Callithrix jacchus: one gene and its partners. The protein of the gene in region 2 binds, or shares a complex with, the protein of the main gene of each other region. Links are inferred from orthologs where the notes say so. Each region holds a gene or a part of one and is shown on either strand. Other genes may lie near its edges. The genes, in order: ARPC1B, ACTR3 and ARPC4.

What was found.
Region 1: ACTR3 (region 2) and ARPC1B share a complex: the UniProt entries of both Homo sapiens proteins name them as parts of the arp2/3 complex. The link is inferred for Callithrix jacchus from reciprocal best matches to the Homo sapiens genes ACTR3 and ARPC1B.
Region 3: the proteins of ACTR3 (region 2) and ARPC4 are in contact, whole or in part, in a cryo-EM structure (PDB 6YW6), measured with the Homo sapiens proteins. The link is inferred for Callithrix jacchus from reciprocal best matches to the Homo sapiens genes ACTR3 and ARPC4. Residues at the interface, in NP_005712.1 of Homo sapiens: Lys53, Gly54, Val55, Leu58, Glu121, Glu124, Tyr125, Glu128, Glu132, Tyr400, Glu401, Pro405, Arg409; in NP_005709.1 of Homo sapiens: Lys89, Arg92, Phe93, Met96, Arg97, Glu99, Asn100, Arg156, Ile159.

What each region holds. Positions count from the first base shown.
Region 1 is NC_133503.1:14,205,975-14,210,562, forward strand, and holds the start of ARPC1B (actin-related protein 2/3 complex subunit 1B), read right to left. Parts: upstream 2,613-4,588; 5' UTR 2,561-2,612; intron 1-2,560. UniProt on the Homo sapiens protein: Component of the Arp2/3 complex, a multiprotein complex that mediates actin polymerization upon stimulation by nucleation-promoting factor (NPF).
Region 2 is NC_133507.1:98,527,197-98,531,784, reverse strand, and holds the start of ACTR3 (actin-related protein 3), read right to left. Parts: upstream 2,939-4,588; 5' UTR 2,729-2,938; coding exon 2,685-2,728; intron 2,398-2,684; exon of another isoform or gene 2,231-2,397; intron 1-2,230. UniProt on the Homo sapiens protein: ATP-binding component of the Arp2/3 complex, a multiprotein complex that mediates actin polymerization upon stimulation by nucleation-promoting factor (NPF).
Region 3 is NC_133516.1:66,962,966-66,967,453, reverse strand, and holds part of ARPC4 (actin-related protein 2/3 complex subunit 4), read right to left. Parts: intron 3,799-4,488; coding exon 3,687-3,798; intron 2,527-3,686; coding exon 2,431-2,526; intron 953-2,430; coding exon 782-952; intron 1-781. UniProt on the Homo sapiens protein: Actin-binding component of the Arp2/3 complex, a multiprotein complex that mediates actin polymerization upon stimulation by nucleation-promoting factor (NPF).

The DNA of each region.
Region 1 (4,588 bases), on a different chromosome or scaffold from region 2:
GTCATCCAAAGAAAACAAAAACCGAAAACATAAAATTCAATGCTGGCAGAGCTGTGGAGAAATTGCTATTTGTTGTTAATTGGATTAATTACTCTGAAGGGCACCCAATTCAACAAGTGGGTGGGAACAAATAAATATTAATAGAACAGAATTAACAGGAACTTGAAAATAAGCATTCTTTGGTCACATACATCCATTCTGTTACTAAGAAAAGAGCAGGCCGCGTGGTGGCTCAAGCCTGTAATCCCAGCACTTTGGGAGGCCGAGGCGGGTGGATCACGAGGTCAAGAGATTGAGACCATCCTGGGTCAACATGGTGAAACCCCGTCCCTACTAAAAATACAAAAAAAATTAGCTGGGCATGGTGACGCGTGCCTGTAATCCCAGCTACTCAGGAGGCTGAGGCAGGAGAACTGCCTGAACCCAGGAGGTGGAGGTTGCGGTGAGGCGAGATCGTGCCATTGCACTCCAGCCGTCTCAAAAAAAAAAAAAGACTTATCAAATCAGACGTGAAGGCTCATGCCTGTAACCTCAGCAATTTAGGAGGCCGAGGCAGGAAGATTGCTTAAGGCTAGGAGTTTGAGGCTAGCCTGGACAACATAGCAAAACCCCATCTCTACTAAACATTTAAAAATTAGCTTGGCATGGACGCACATGCCTGTAATCCCAGCTACTCAGGAGGATGCCTTGAGCCCAGGAGTTTGAGGCTGCAGTGAGCTATCATCGAGCCATGGTACTGCAGCCTGGGCGACACAGTGAGACCCTGATTCCAGAAAAAAAGAAAAAGACCTCTCAATGGATTATGTACAGACATATGTAAGAAATCAACTTTGCTGGCATTTGTCAGTGCCTTGATTTTACCCAGAACTTTCACGATTCTCTTTTACCCTCTGAAGCAAGCCTGAGACATTTTTTGTTTGCTTTTTACCTTCAGTTTGTACAGGAGGAAACCCAAGCTCAGAAAAAAGCAATGATTTGCTCAAAGCCACCCAGCTCCTAGTAAATGACACAGCTTGGGACTCTGGCCCCAAATCTTGGAGGCCAGGAAGTTGGATTCACCTGGGAGGACACTATGATCACGGTGAGCAGGCCTTATAATGGCAGCAAGCCCACGTTCATACTGTCAGCGCCTGACACACTGCCAAGTGTCTGGTAGTATTGCCTTTCAGACTCACAATCCTTAAGGTTCCCATTTTCCAGATTAGGAAAGTTGAGGCTGGCAGGGGTTGCGTGGCTTACCAAAATCATTGGCCAGTGAAGGGAGAAGCTGGCACTCTTACCTAGGTCCGTAATATTTTTTTATTTATTTAGAGACAGAGTCTCGCTCTGTTGCCCAGGCTGGAGTGCAGTGGGACAATCTCAGCTCACGGCAGCTTCCACCTCCTGGGTTCAAGGGATTCTTCTACCTCCGCCTCCCGAGTAGCTGGGATCACAGGCAGGGGCCACATACCTAGCTAACTTTTGTATTTTTAGTAGAGACGGGTTTTCACAATGTTGGCCAGGCTGGTCTCAAACTCCTGACCTCAAGTGATCTGTCTGCCTCCACCTCTCAAAGTACTGGGATTACTGGAGTGAGCCACCGCAACCGGCTACATTTTATTTATTTATTTTAATAGAGAAGGGTCTCGTAATGCTGTCCAGGCTGCCCTCCAACTCCTGGCCTCAAGTGATCTTCCCACCTGGGCCTCCCAAAATGATGATATTCCCGGTGTTAGCGACCGCGCCCAGTGAGATGGGTGGTGGCAACCCCTGGGCTGCACTGGCAGAGGAGGAAGGGGGAGGTCTGATTCCCCAGGGCTTGGGCTCCTGATCCCTTCACTGCCCCCGGGTGCAGCCCGGCCCAGGGCGGTCTGTCTGCTCTCCCTGTGCCTCCGGAAAGGGAGGGGCCGCTCGGATCCGCCTCGGCCGCGGAGCCCGGCAGCTCAGAGGGGTGCGTTTCGGGATCCCACCGGCTAGGCCCGCCCCGTAGGGGACCCCCTCGGACCTGGCCCGACGGAGGTGGGTGGGGGAAACAGGAGCGGCCGGGAGGGCAGGGGCGGGGCACCCAGAGGCGCCAGCTCATTTCCCGGCGGCTGCAACCCGGAAGGCTCCGGGGATGGAGGGGAAGTGACTGGGCGTGGGGCCCTGTCGTCCCGAAGTAACGGGGCGACACCGACCGACCTCGGGGCAAGGCCGGGGATGCGGGCCGGGAGGCGGGAGCGGAAGGCACGAAACGGACGCTCTGGCTGGGGCCGGGGGCTGGGGACGCCCCGAGGGCGCCCAGCGTGCGGGGAGCCCGCGTTATCCCCGCCCAGCCCTGGGGTCACCCCTGCGCGCCCTGCTCCCAGGGCTCTGTTTCCTCCCTGCGAGGCCCCCTCCCTCCGTGCGCCCCCACTCACCCCCGCACCCCTACTGGGCTGCGCCCCACATCCGTACGTCCCCCTCACTTCCAGGCGCCCCCCGCGCCCCCTCTCGCCCCTCCCGTCCTCCTCACTCCCAGGCGGCGCCACACATCCCCGCGTCCCCCCACCTCCGGACCGCTGCCCCGGCCCCCTCCTCCGTGCGCCCCCGCGGCCCTCACCTCCCGCGCCCCGGCCGCGGACTCTGGGCAGTCGACGCGCCGAACCGACTCTGGGCCCCGCGCGGCAGCCGCAGCCACTTCCTCGTGGGCGGGGGGCGGGGCCTCCCGACCTCAGCCCCGTAGGGCCCGGGGGCGGGAACCAGGGGCAGCGGTCGCGAGATCCAGGGTTCCGCCCTCCTTTCGGGGCCTGGGGGCTGCGGGGACCCGCGCGGGTGTCGAAACCCAAGGTTCTGTCCGCAGAAGCTGTCCACAACCACCCGTCAACGCTTTATCAATGGGGAAACTGAGGCTGGGAGCGAGACGCGCTGCCTGAGCCGCCGCTGGGCGGGATCTCCGAGCCGGTGCCGGGCGCGGGATATGGGAGTCGCGTCCTCTGAGCCCGGACGGCTGGGACCTCGGGCCATGCACGCAGGTGACCGAGCAGCTGGCGAGCCCTGCGGTCCAGTCCCCAGACTGCGAGGAGCCCCCTTCGCGCTGACGCCCGCGGGGCGCCAACTGGGCAGTCCCTGGGTGGACAGGGCGTGGCCAGAGCAGCCGGGCCCCGCCTCCTCGGCCCTTAGTGTCCTCACCACAAAACCCGGGTGCTCCCCCGGCCACGGGTGACACTGGCTGCCCCTGCTGACGCTGGCCGGCCAGCTGACTTCTTTCCCTTCTGTTTCTTTCCTTTTTTTGAGACGGATTCTCACTCTGTCACCAGGCTGGAGTGCAGTGGCACGATGTTGGCTGGCTGCAACCTCCGCCTCCTGGGTTCAAGCGATTCTCCTGCCTCAGCCTCCTAAGTAGCTGAGATTATAGGCATCCGCCACCACCCCCGGCTTTTGTTTTTTAGTAGAGATGGGGGGGGGGGGTTTCCCATGTTGGCCAGGCCAGTCTCGAACTCCTGACCTCGTGATCCACCCACTTCAGCTTTCCAAAGTGCTGTGATTACAGGCTTGAGCCACTGCGCCAGGCCTTTCCCCTTGTGTTCCACCACGGTCGGCTTCACTTCTTTAAGTTACCCAGTTAGCCTTGCAGCCACCTGATTGCTGGTCTTGGGCCAGGTGATTCCTGGAGTCTTCCCATCCTGACCCTCTGCCTCTTCACTGGAGACGTAGCCAGGCGGCCAGGCAGATGGAAGAGACTAGGATGAAAGCCTTCCCTTGGCAGGGCACGGTGGCTCACTCGTGTAATCCCAGCACTTTGGGAGGCCATGGTGGGTGGATCATGAGGTCAGGAGTTCCAGACCAGCCTGGCCAATATGGTGAAACCTCATCTATACTAAAAAATACAAAAATTAGGCCTCGGTGGCTCACACCTGTAATCCCAGCACTTTGGGAAGCCAAGTCAGGCAGATCCCGAGGTCAGGAGTTCAAGACCATCCTGGCCAAATGGTGAAACCCTGTCTCTACCAAAAAAAAAAAAAAATTAGGCTGGGCACAGTGGCTCACATCTGCAATCCCTGCACTTTGGGAGGCTGAGGTAGGCATATCATGAGGTCAGGAGATCGAGACCATCCTGGCCAACATGTTGAAACCCTGTTTCTACTAAAAATACAAAAATTACCTGGGCGCAGTGGTGTGCACCTGTAGTCCCAACTACCTAGAAGGCTGAGGCAGGAGAATCGCTTTAAATGGAGAGGCAGGGGTTGCAGTGAGCCAAGATCACACCACTGCACTCCAGCCTGGTGACAGAGCCAGACTCTGCCTCTTTTTCTTTTTTTCTTTCTTTTCTTTTCATTTTTTTTTTCTTTCTTTTTTTTTTTTTTTTTTTTTTTTTTTTGCTAGCACAGAAATAACTTTATTCCAGATGACACTCTGTCACAAAAAAAAAAAAAAAAAAAAAAAAAAAAGCTGGGCGTGGTGGAGGCAGCCTGTAGTCCCAGATAATGGGGGCTGAGACAGGAGAATCACTTGAACCCGGGAGGCAGAGGTTGTAGAGCTGAGATCTTGCCCCTGCACTCCAGCCTGGGCAACAGAAGCAAAACTCTGTCTCAAAAAAAACAGGAAAGAAAGAAAAATGGCCAGGCATGATGGTGCGCTGCTGTAATGC
Region 2 (4,588 bases):
CTTTTCAAATTCTTTTCAAAATAAGTATTCTCTTTTATGACCTGAATCTACGAGATTCATATGTTGAGTTTTGCTGGACAATCCCTAACAGTTTTGGGATTAAGTTTCAAGTCTCCTAACTCTTAACAGCCTTCTTATCTAAGACAATCAAGTTTTACAGATGACCATTTTTTTTATCAGCCACCTTTTCCCTAATTTATATAATGAATAAAATGAACGACCTGATTCAGGTTATAATTTTTTGCTTAAACTAAGTGGGCAATTGTAATCTAGAGACTTAAGAGCTGAATGCATTCTCTAAAGCATAAAGAAATAGACAAATTATAGGTGCACAATTTGCATTCGGGGACCACAGAATTTTGAAATGTAAAAATTCCCTATTAAGGCCATACTTAGAGATGCTTATCTCAGGGGCCCAACCTCAAGGACTTATCCATGTGTTAATAAAGTTGAAGGTGTAACTTTCCTGGAAGAACCACTGGCAACTTAAGAGACCAAAAAGCCTTTTGAGGACCAAAATAACTGAAACTCTAAAGGAAGATTTTCAGGTAGTGACAAATTGTAAAAGAGAGTGAGCTGGCAAAGGGACTCCTAATCAGTTCCATTAAAATCATGAATGCAGTTAGCAACCTCTCCTTGTCGGGGAAACCAATGTAATAATGTAAAAATATACTACTGTAAAAATCAAAATTTTAAAACAGACATATCCTAGATTAAACTGAACCCCTCTCCCTGATCCTACTGGTCATTCAGCATGTTTTAAATTCAAGGTTGCCCTTTAGGAAAGGAGGTCACTTAAGGACAGTTAACCTCAATGAGACATCTAGTATACTAATTTGAAACTATTTCAAAAGGGAAAAAATGGAAAGAATAAAAGTAACATACTACTTGAGATGTTACCATAGTCTTTCTTAGGGCCACAATTATTTACACTATTTTTATTGACAACTCAGTAATTTCTAAAACATTAATTATGTAGCCATATTGTCACTTCAACAAAACATATTGGAAAAGTCCTACTGACTCAGGTCAAATCTAATTTTAAAACTGAACCTAGACATAAAACTACTCACCAATTAAACGAAGAAGGGAGAAAGAAAAAATATTATTGGTTCAGAGAAATGAGACTGGATTAAGAAGAAACTAATCAAGTGTTCATCAAAAAAATACATAGATGTTCCAAAGCTCATCTAGGCTAGTGTTTTCCTGGGGAGAATATTAAGTTGGTTGTTTCTCTACCTGACTGTGATTTTAGAAACTGCCACACTAGCTAGTTATGAGAATGAAGATTAAAGAAATTTTACATGGAATAAAGAGTGAAAGACATACAATCTTTTAAGGAACAATAATGAATATTATTAATAATTATGATTAACAATAATTTTTTTAAAAGCCTTGCAGTCCACCTCTCACGCCTTCCCCCTCAAAAATAAAACTGGGAGTGTTTGGGAATTAGAGCGATGTAATCACAGAAAAAAGAAAACAGTTTCCTATATGTCATCGTGAAGCAGTGATTCTACATTAAAATAAAAGTAGCCTATTCTCTATGTAGTTATACAAAGTGTGGTACAACTCTCTAAAATGTCTATTAATACAAAATGAATGACCACTTTAAAGCCATTCTATATTTTAGCAAACAGCTCTACAGATCTAAGAGTAACTATGTGCAACTTAAACACATTCCTATATACCTCTATACCTTCCTTCCTCCTTCCTTCAAGATACCATCAGAGAAGGAACGTATGCAACTTAAATTATTTTCCAGGGTGTTTCCTTTCTCCCCTCTCCATGAAACACAAGTACATTTTTTTAAGTTACATGAATGAATACCAAGCACCGTTAATTCCGTCTCTTTAAAACCTGCTTAATTTTAAAAGTACTAATAAGTTGTGTTCAGGTTGGAAACGAAAAACTACCTTATAAGGGTATAAAAGACTGAAAGCAGGAAGCGGCTTTGACAAAACTAAGGAAGTTGCAGCGCGCTTGCTCACTGGGGGACTTTTTTGAGGCTACAGAAGTAACACATGACATTTTTCTCTCTCGAATTAAAATGTGACTTGGTTCACCGGTTAAAATGCAGAGGGAGATGGAAATGACCGGGAGTCGAAAAGAGAAGGTGGGTGGTCAAATGAAAGCCCCGCTGTAGGTTCCCATTTTCAGAGTCCGATTCTTCCCCTTCCCCACCCACACCCTGGGCAGAGTGTTGTCACAGCGATCTTGCAAAACCTACCAGGAGCGCTTCTCTTTTCTAGCTCCTCTGCCAGGCCAGTCCCCGAGCACGGCCCCTGGGCCCCCAAACCCACGGGGAAAAGGGGCGCGGAAGGAAAGGAAAGCCGGATGGGTTGGGCCCGGGGACCACCCCCAAAGCGACCGTCCCCAGCACTCTTTGGGCGGCACAGCCCACCGCAGTGGGGGAAGGGCCGGGGGGGGTCGCGCGGAGGAAGCCGCTGGGAGGGTTGGAGGTTGAATCTCGGGCCTGCGCCCCCGCCCCAGTCCTAGGAGGGAGAAACTAGGGGACCGGCGAGGCCCTGGCTCCGGGCCCCACCCCTTGCTAGCCGCCGGGGCTAGGACTGACAGCCGGCGGCGGCACCTTGCCGCACCATTCATTTCCCGGTCTCCTCCCTCCCCCGCCATTTTCCTTCCTCCGCCTCAGTTTCCCCACCCCCGCCCGTCAGCCCCCTTACCCCGTGCCACAGTCCACTACACAGGCCGGCAGCCGTCCCGCCATCTTCCTCCTAGCCTGCTGCTGCTGCTGCCGCCGTCTGCTCCGTGCTGTTAGGGGCCAGAGATTGGCGGCGGGAGACAGGCGCTATCTGACCATCCACAGCCGGGCCGCCCTCACCGTCCGGGGGGTAGCCGGGAAGCCGAAGCAGTAGCAAGAAAGCAGCAGGCTCGGTCAGCGGCTATCACTTCCGCAACCCGGGCAGGCAGGCAGTCCCCGCCCTGCCCCGCCGCGGCCTCCTCCCCCTCTCTCTTCCCTCCTCCTCACTCCTGCCCCCACCCTACAACTTCTTCCCCTCACGCCGCCTTTCCCCGGGAAGCCAAGATGGCCGCCGGTGCCGACGCCCGGGCCCGGCCAGGCTCAGGCCCGGAGAGCTCCCCCTTCCGCTCCGAGCGGGAGGGGCCAGCGAGCATGCGCAATAAGGTACGTTCGCCTGCCCGGGCTCCGATCCCGAAGTTAGTGAAATCCACTGCGAGTTTTCCAGGAGGATAGAGGCGAAGTCTAGCCGAGCTTCTAGTTCTGCTTCTGAAGCTGGAAGGGGCTTTTCGGTTGCAGCCCTTGGGTTAGTTTCAGTTGCTTCTTTGCTAGATTGGGGAAAGAGTGGAAGCGCCTCCTGCAGCCGCGAATATCCTACAGGTCCTGGGAGAAAGCGGTCTAATCGAAAACGTCTGCGGCATGCATCCATTCTTAAAACTTGAGTGGCTGCTTTTCTGGGTGGAAAAGAGCGGTATCAGGGTGAGCAGTCGGGGAATGGATGAACAAAGACTTGTCACCGTGGTCCTTAGGCCTTTGTTGCGGGTTTTATTCAGTTGTACTTGTGCATTGTTACAGGACTTTAGAATGTAGCCCTGCTCCCCAACCTCCACCTCCCAGGGCTGACCTGGGTCCCTAAGGAAGGCAAACCTCCCAGGAATGTATTCTACATAGTATACGCCATCCAAATAGGTCTTTATTCAAGGCTTTTAGATTATGACAACGATTCCCCTCAGGAGTAGTAAGAGTCTACTAGCAGTATAATAGAAAGGATTAAGGGCACTCCCCCCCCCAAAAAAAGTTTTAAGTTAAAAACGGAGGCCGGCCACAGTGGGTCATGCCTGTAATTTCAATCCTTTAGAAGGCCAAAGTGGAAGAATAGGAGAGCTTAAGGCTAGGAGTTCGAGACCAGCCTGGGCAACATAGGGAGGACCCCCCACAACCATCACTCCAAAAAAAAAAAAAAAAAGAAAACTGGAAAGCCTTAAAGAAACCTTTCAAACTTTAGTGTGTATCAGAATCACCTCAAAGGTTTGTTAAAACAGATTGCTGGGCCACACCCCAGCAATTAGAAATTCACATTTCTAATAAGTTCCTAGTTCCACTTTAGAAACCTAGAAGGTTAATATCATTCCTCTCCACCAAGATTTTCTTATGATAAACCATTCTGAGTTTACTAATGTGAAGCTAAAATAAAAATATTTTTTAGAAGGAGGGATATATTATTCAGTCCATAAAATCGTGTAGTGTGGTATTAAGCTGGCCTGGGAAATGGAATTGGGTGTTTCATTTATTCATTTGACAGGTAAGTATTGCTTACCTACTCTATTATGGCAGGGACTCTGCTGACTCTGAATATTCCCTGGGATGGAAAATAGTTAAGGTCTTTTGTAGAGTTTACAGATTAGCGGGAAACAGACAAATTGTGTTAAGTGCAATAGAAAGAAGAGAACTGAGGACTCTGAGAAATGAGGGCGAGGAGTGGGAGAATGGAAGGAAGGTGGAAGGCAGGGAAGGAGTCTGGCCAGCTGGTATTTAAAACCTGAGTTGGGGGGAAGAGTCTTCCAGGAGAGGGAACAGCAAGTGTCAAGGACTTGAGGCAGGAACAAGCTT
Region 3 (4,488 bases), on a different chromosome or scaffold from region 2:
ATAATTAAATCCCAGGGGAAGCAGGTATAATTTCCATTTTTAGCAATCTGAGCTCCTTCTGGACTGGGTGTGCACTCACTGGTGAGAGTACACACTAAGTCTACTGCCTAGAGATCACAGCCACTCTGGGTAGAACATGCCAACAAACCAAAGATTGTTTAGAAAAGTAGAAAAAAAAAGAAGGCATGTCTTGAATATCTAAACAACTAAGAACTATGTCATCAGTTACCAATGTAAATAATTCCACCTCTTCATATGACTACAGTCCTTTCGATTAGAAAGGCATAAACAATATAAGAGGAATCTGGAGGACTTAGGCCATGCAAGTGATGGAAAACAGGTTGAAGGAATCATGACTTTAAGCCTAAGAAACAGACGCTAAGGAAAGTACTGATGTCTATTTGAGAAGTGGAATTATACCATGATTAACTGTCCTATATTCCGGGAAAATTCACATGCAGACTTCACTTGCCTCACTTAGGGTTTGAACTAGATAGAGGTAAGGACTTTATGAACATCCTGAGATATAGAAATGAGTGTCCAAGTTCCTACAAGAGACTAAGAGACATCCTAGACACCCAAAAATACAGAAAATGCCTGTAGCGCTCAGAGATGAACCTGGGGCCTTCTAGCTCCAAAGCACCTGAGCAACCTGCTGTGTTCTAGGGGTTCCAAAGATATAAACACACTGCTAGCACCCCTTTCCCACCAGGTGCTAAGTTCTCAACATGACTCCAGATCCTTCAGCCTCTGGAAGGAAAGCAGAAAAGCCTATACTCACATTCTTAAGGAACTCCTCAGCCACAATGCGGGCACGGGCATTGACTGACAGCTTCATTTCACTGATCTCCTTGTCAATCTCCTCCATGAAGTGGATCACAAAGTCCACCAACTTGTGTTTGTACATCTGCTCTGTGTGGAAGTTGGTGATCAGAAAGCTGATGTCATACCCCTAGGAAAGAAGACAGCAGGGAGGAAGAAGGGAAGGAACAGGAGAGAATTAGCACCCCAGGGGAAGTGAGCTGGTCATGTCCTCCACTCATTCACATGTTTCTCACTGGCTGTGATCTTCTCCCAAGCTACACACCCTTCCAGTCAGCAGCCCACCTGCTCTGGGGAAGGGCGTGTAGGTTGGATCCAAGCAACTCAATCCAGTTGAGAATTCTGTGTGTATCAGACATCTCTGGAAGACTATCTGTGGCACAAACAACTCTACATTCAGAATGAGTCAAGGCACTTGAAGTCTTGTTACAGAAGAATCTAATCAAACAACAGGGAACATTTAGTCCAGAAAAGAGATGATGTGGAAGATGAGTGGGATTAAGGTATTTTTTCTGCTGGAGGCGTATGTGAGGAAGAGGAATTTTATTTACTCCAGGTGGCCAAAGAGGTTAGATCTAGGACCGGGAGAGAAAAATTTGGCTCAGGATGAGGAAGAACTTGGCCAACATGCCTGATGTATCTGATGATGGCATATCCTGCTGTGTGGTAGTTGTGGGGATGCTTTAAGTTAAGTTGGTAAGGAGTCTGTGGAGGAGGGTCAAGTACAAAGTCAGGCAACAACTGACCCAGTGTTAACTGTGGCTTTAAGAGACTATGATTCACTTTAGGAGGCCGAGATGGGTGGATCACCTGAGGTCACGAGACCAGCCTGACCAACATGATGAAACCCCATCTCTACTAAAATTACAAAATTAACCAGGCACGGTAGCACATGGTAGCTACTCAGGAGGCTGAGGCAGGAGAAATGGTTTGAACCTGGGAGGCAGAGGTTTCAGTGAGTCGAGATCACATCATTGTACTCCAGCCTGGGCAACAAGAGCAAAACTCCAACGACAATAACAACAACAAAATCACTGTGCTCTTTCTGCTGCTAGACTGTAGGCTCTGGGAATAAGCAATGTATCTTATATTTTTTGCCTTTTCCTTTTTCTTTTTTTAGATGGAGTCTCACTCTGTCACCCAGGCTGCGTGCAGTGGCACAATCTCGGCTCACTGTAACTTCTGCTTCCCGGGTTGAAGCAATTCTCTGCCTCAGCCTCCCGAGTAGCTGGAATTACAGGTGCCCGCCATCACACTGGGCTTATTTTTATATTTTTAGTATAGATGGGATGGCACCATCTTGGCCAGGCTGGTCTTGAACTCCTGACCTCATGATCCACCCTCCTCGGCCTCCCAAAGTGTTGGGATTACAGGCATGAGCCACCACTCCTGGTCCTTTTTTGCCTTTTGTATGGCTGAGGTAGACCCAACTTTTCCTAGGCTTCTGATCCTCTTGGTTCCCACTCCAGCTGAGATGAAGGCCAACTCTCAGTTCAGGCGGTGGTGCCAAACAGCTGGAAGAGCAGCAATCCAGGTTCTAGAAACAATTCCAGGCCATTCTGTAGCAGGATCCTGGGTATTGCAAATTCATGGGTCACAAGGTCTCACCTCCACAGGCTTTCTTCGAAGGATGAAGAAGTTTTCTGCTCGCATCATCATGAAGCGCATGAATTTGTGGCATAAAATCTTCTCAATCTCATCGGCCTGGGAAATAAAAGGGAGAAACATTTCTCTAAAGCCGACACCCAAGCCAAAAATACCCTGTAGCCTGGTCTTCTGACTCCAATTTCTCCAAAGCTCCCAGGAGACAGTGAGGTTTGGTACTCGGAAGGATCACTGAAGTGAGGGACCTGGCTGCCAACTGAAACAAGGGTCTATCTTGGGGCATCTCTTAATGAGGACCCATTCCAGAGAGGTAATTCTGGCAAACAGAGTCTTTTATGGCTTCTTTACGAGTCTACAGCGATACGCCAAGCTGCCCTTCTCATTCCCACTTCACTAGTGTTACATTTCCCAGGGTGTGTCGCAGCACCACCTGGGCTATCAGAGATAACTTTAGGTGGTCTCTGCTTTATAACACTGAACATCCAACAATCTCTGAAGTTTCTCCCTTCTGAACTCTCAACATTTCTTTTTTTTTTTTTTTTGAGATGGAGTCTCCCTCTGTTGCCCAGGCTGGAGTGCAGTGGCACAATCTCAGCCCACTGCAACCTCCACCTCCCAGGTCCAAGTGATTCTTGTGCCTCAACCTCCCAAGTAGCTGGGATTACAGGCACGTGCCACCGTACCCGGCCCTGAACGCTCAACATTTGTAAAGAAAGACTTCTGCAGCTGGTTGCTAGTATGCCTTAACACCTCCCAACACTTGTTAATCTCCCATTCTAACAAAGAAAGCAGGCCCCAGGGTTAGAACTTTCTGTAGAACACAGTATGTAGTCTGCATTTAATAATGCTGTTTTGTTTTTATCCTGTTGACAATTTAGAGTTGCCCACTACTGGCTGGGCATGGTGATTCATGCCTGTAATCCCAGCACTTTGGGAGGCTGAGGCAGGCAGATCTCCTGCGGTCAGGAGATTGAGTCCATCCTGACCAACATGGTGAAACCCCATCTCTACTAAAAATACAAAAATTAGATGGACATGTTGGTGGGCGCCTATAATCCCAGCTACTCAGGAGGCTGAGGCAGGAGAATTGCTTGAACCTGGGAGGCAGAAGTTGCAGTGAGCCAAGATCTTGCCACTGCACTCCAGCCTAGGCAACAAGAGTGAGCCTCCATCTGAATGTGGCACGCTGATCTCTCAGATGGGGACCCCTGGATTGAAAGTGAGGTCCTTATGTTACGTCTCTTACAAGGTGACCTTACCTGTTTCACAGCAATGCTGACCCGGACAGAGTTGATGGAGCCCTCAATCAGAACCTTTTCCTTCTCATTCCTGCTGATGGTCACAGGTTGTAACAGGAGTTCTTTGCTACTCCTGAAAACACAATGTCACAGAGTACTCTGTACTATAGAGGGACACAACAGTCAGAGTGACCCCACAGCAAGTCCTGGAATCACTATGACACCATGGAGTCCAAGGAATAGAAGACTCACAAGCAGAAGTGCTCCAAGATGGGGACCAGTGAGTGTGTTCTTCAGCAGAAAGAGCACAGGCTCTGAAGTCAGAGCGAAAAGGTTTTGAAATCCAGCCTCCTCTGTTACTTTCCTGGGCAAGTTACCCTGTTGGAATCTCAATTTTCTCATCTGTAAAATGACTCTGATTCCTATTTCATTGGCAAGGACTGAGAGAGATCAAAAAAGGGTCAGGTATCTAATAGCGTGCCTGGCACATAGTAGGAGCTTTACAAAGGACAGCTGATTTTAGTAACTACAAGTTAAATATCCCCAATCTGTAAATCTGAAATCCAAAATCTGAAACTGGCTGGGCACAGTAGCTCATCCCTGTAACTCCAGCACTTTGGGAGGCTGAGGCAGGTGGATCACTTGAGGTCAGGGGTTTGAGACCAGCCTGGCCAACATGGTGAAATCCCATCTCTACTAAAAACATAAAAATTAGCCAGGTGTGGTGGCACACCCCTATAACCCCAGCTTCTCAGGAGGCTGAGGCACAAGAATTGCTTGAACTCAGGAGGTGGCAGCTGCAATGAGCCAAGATTACACCACT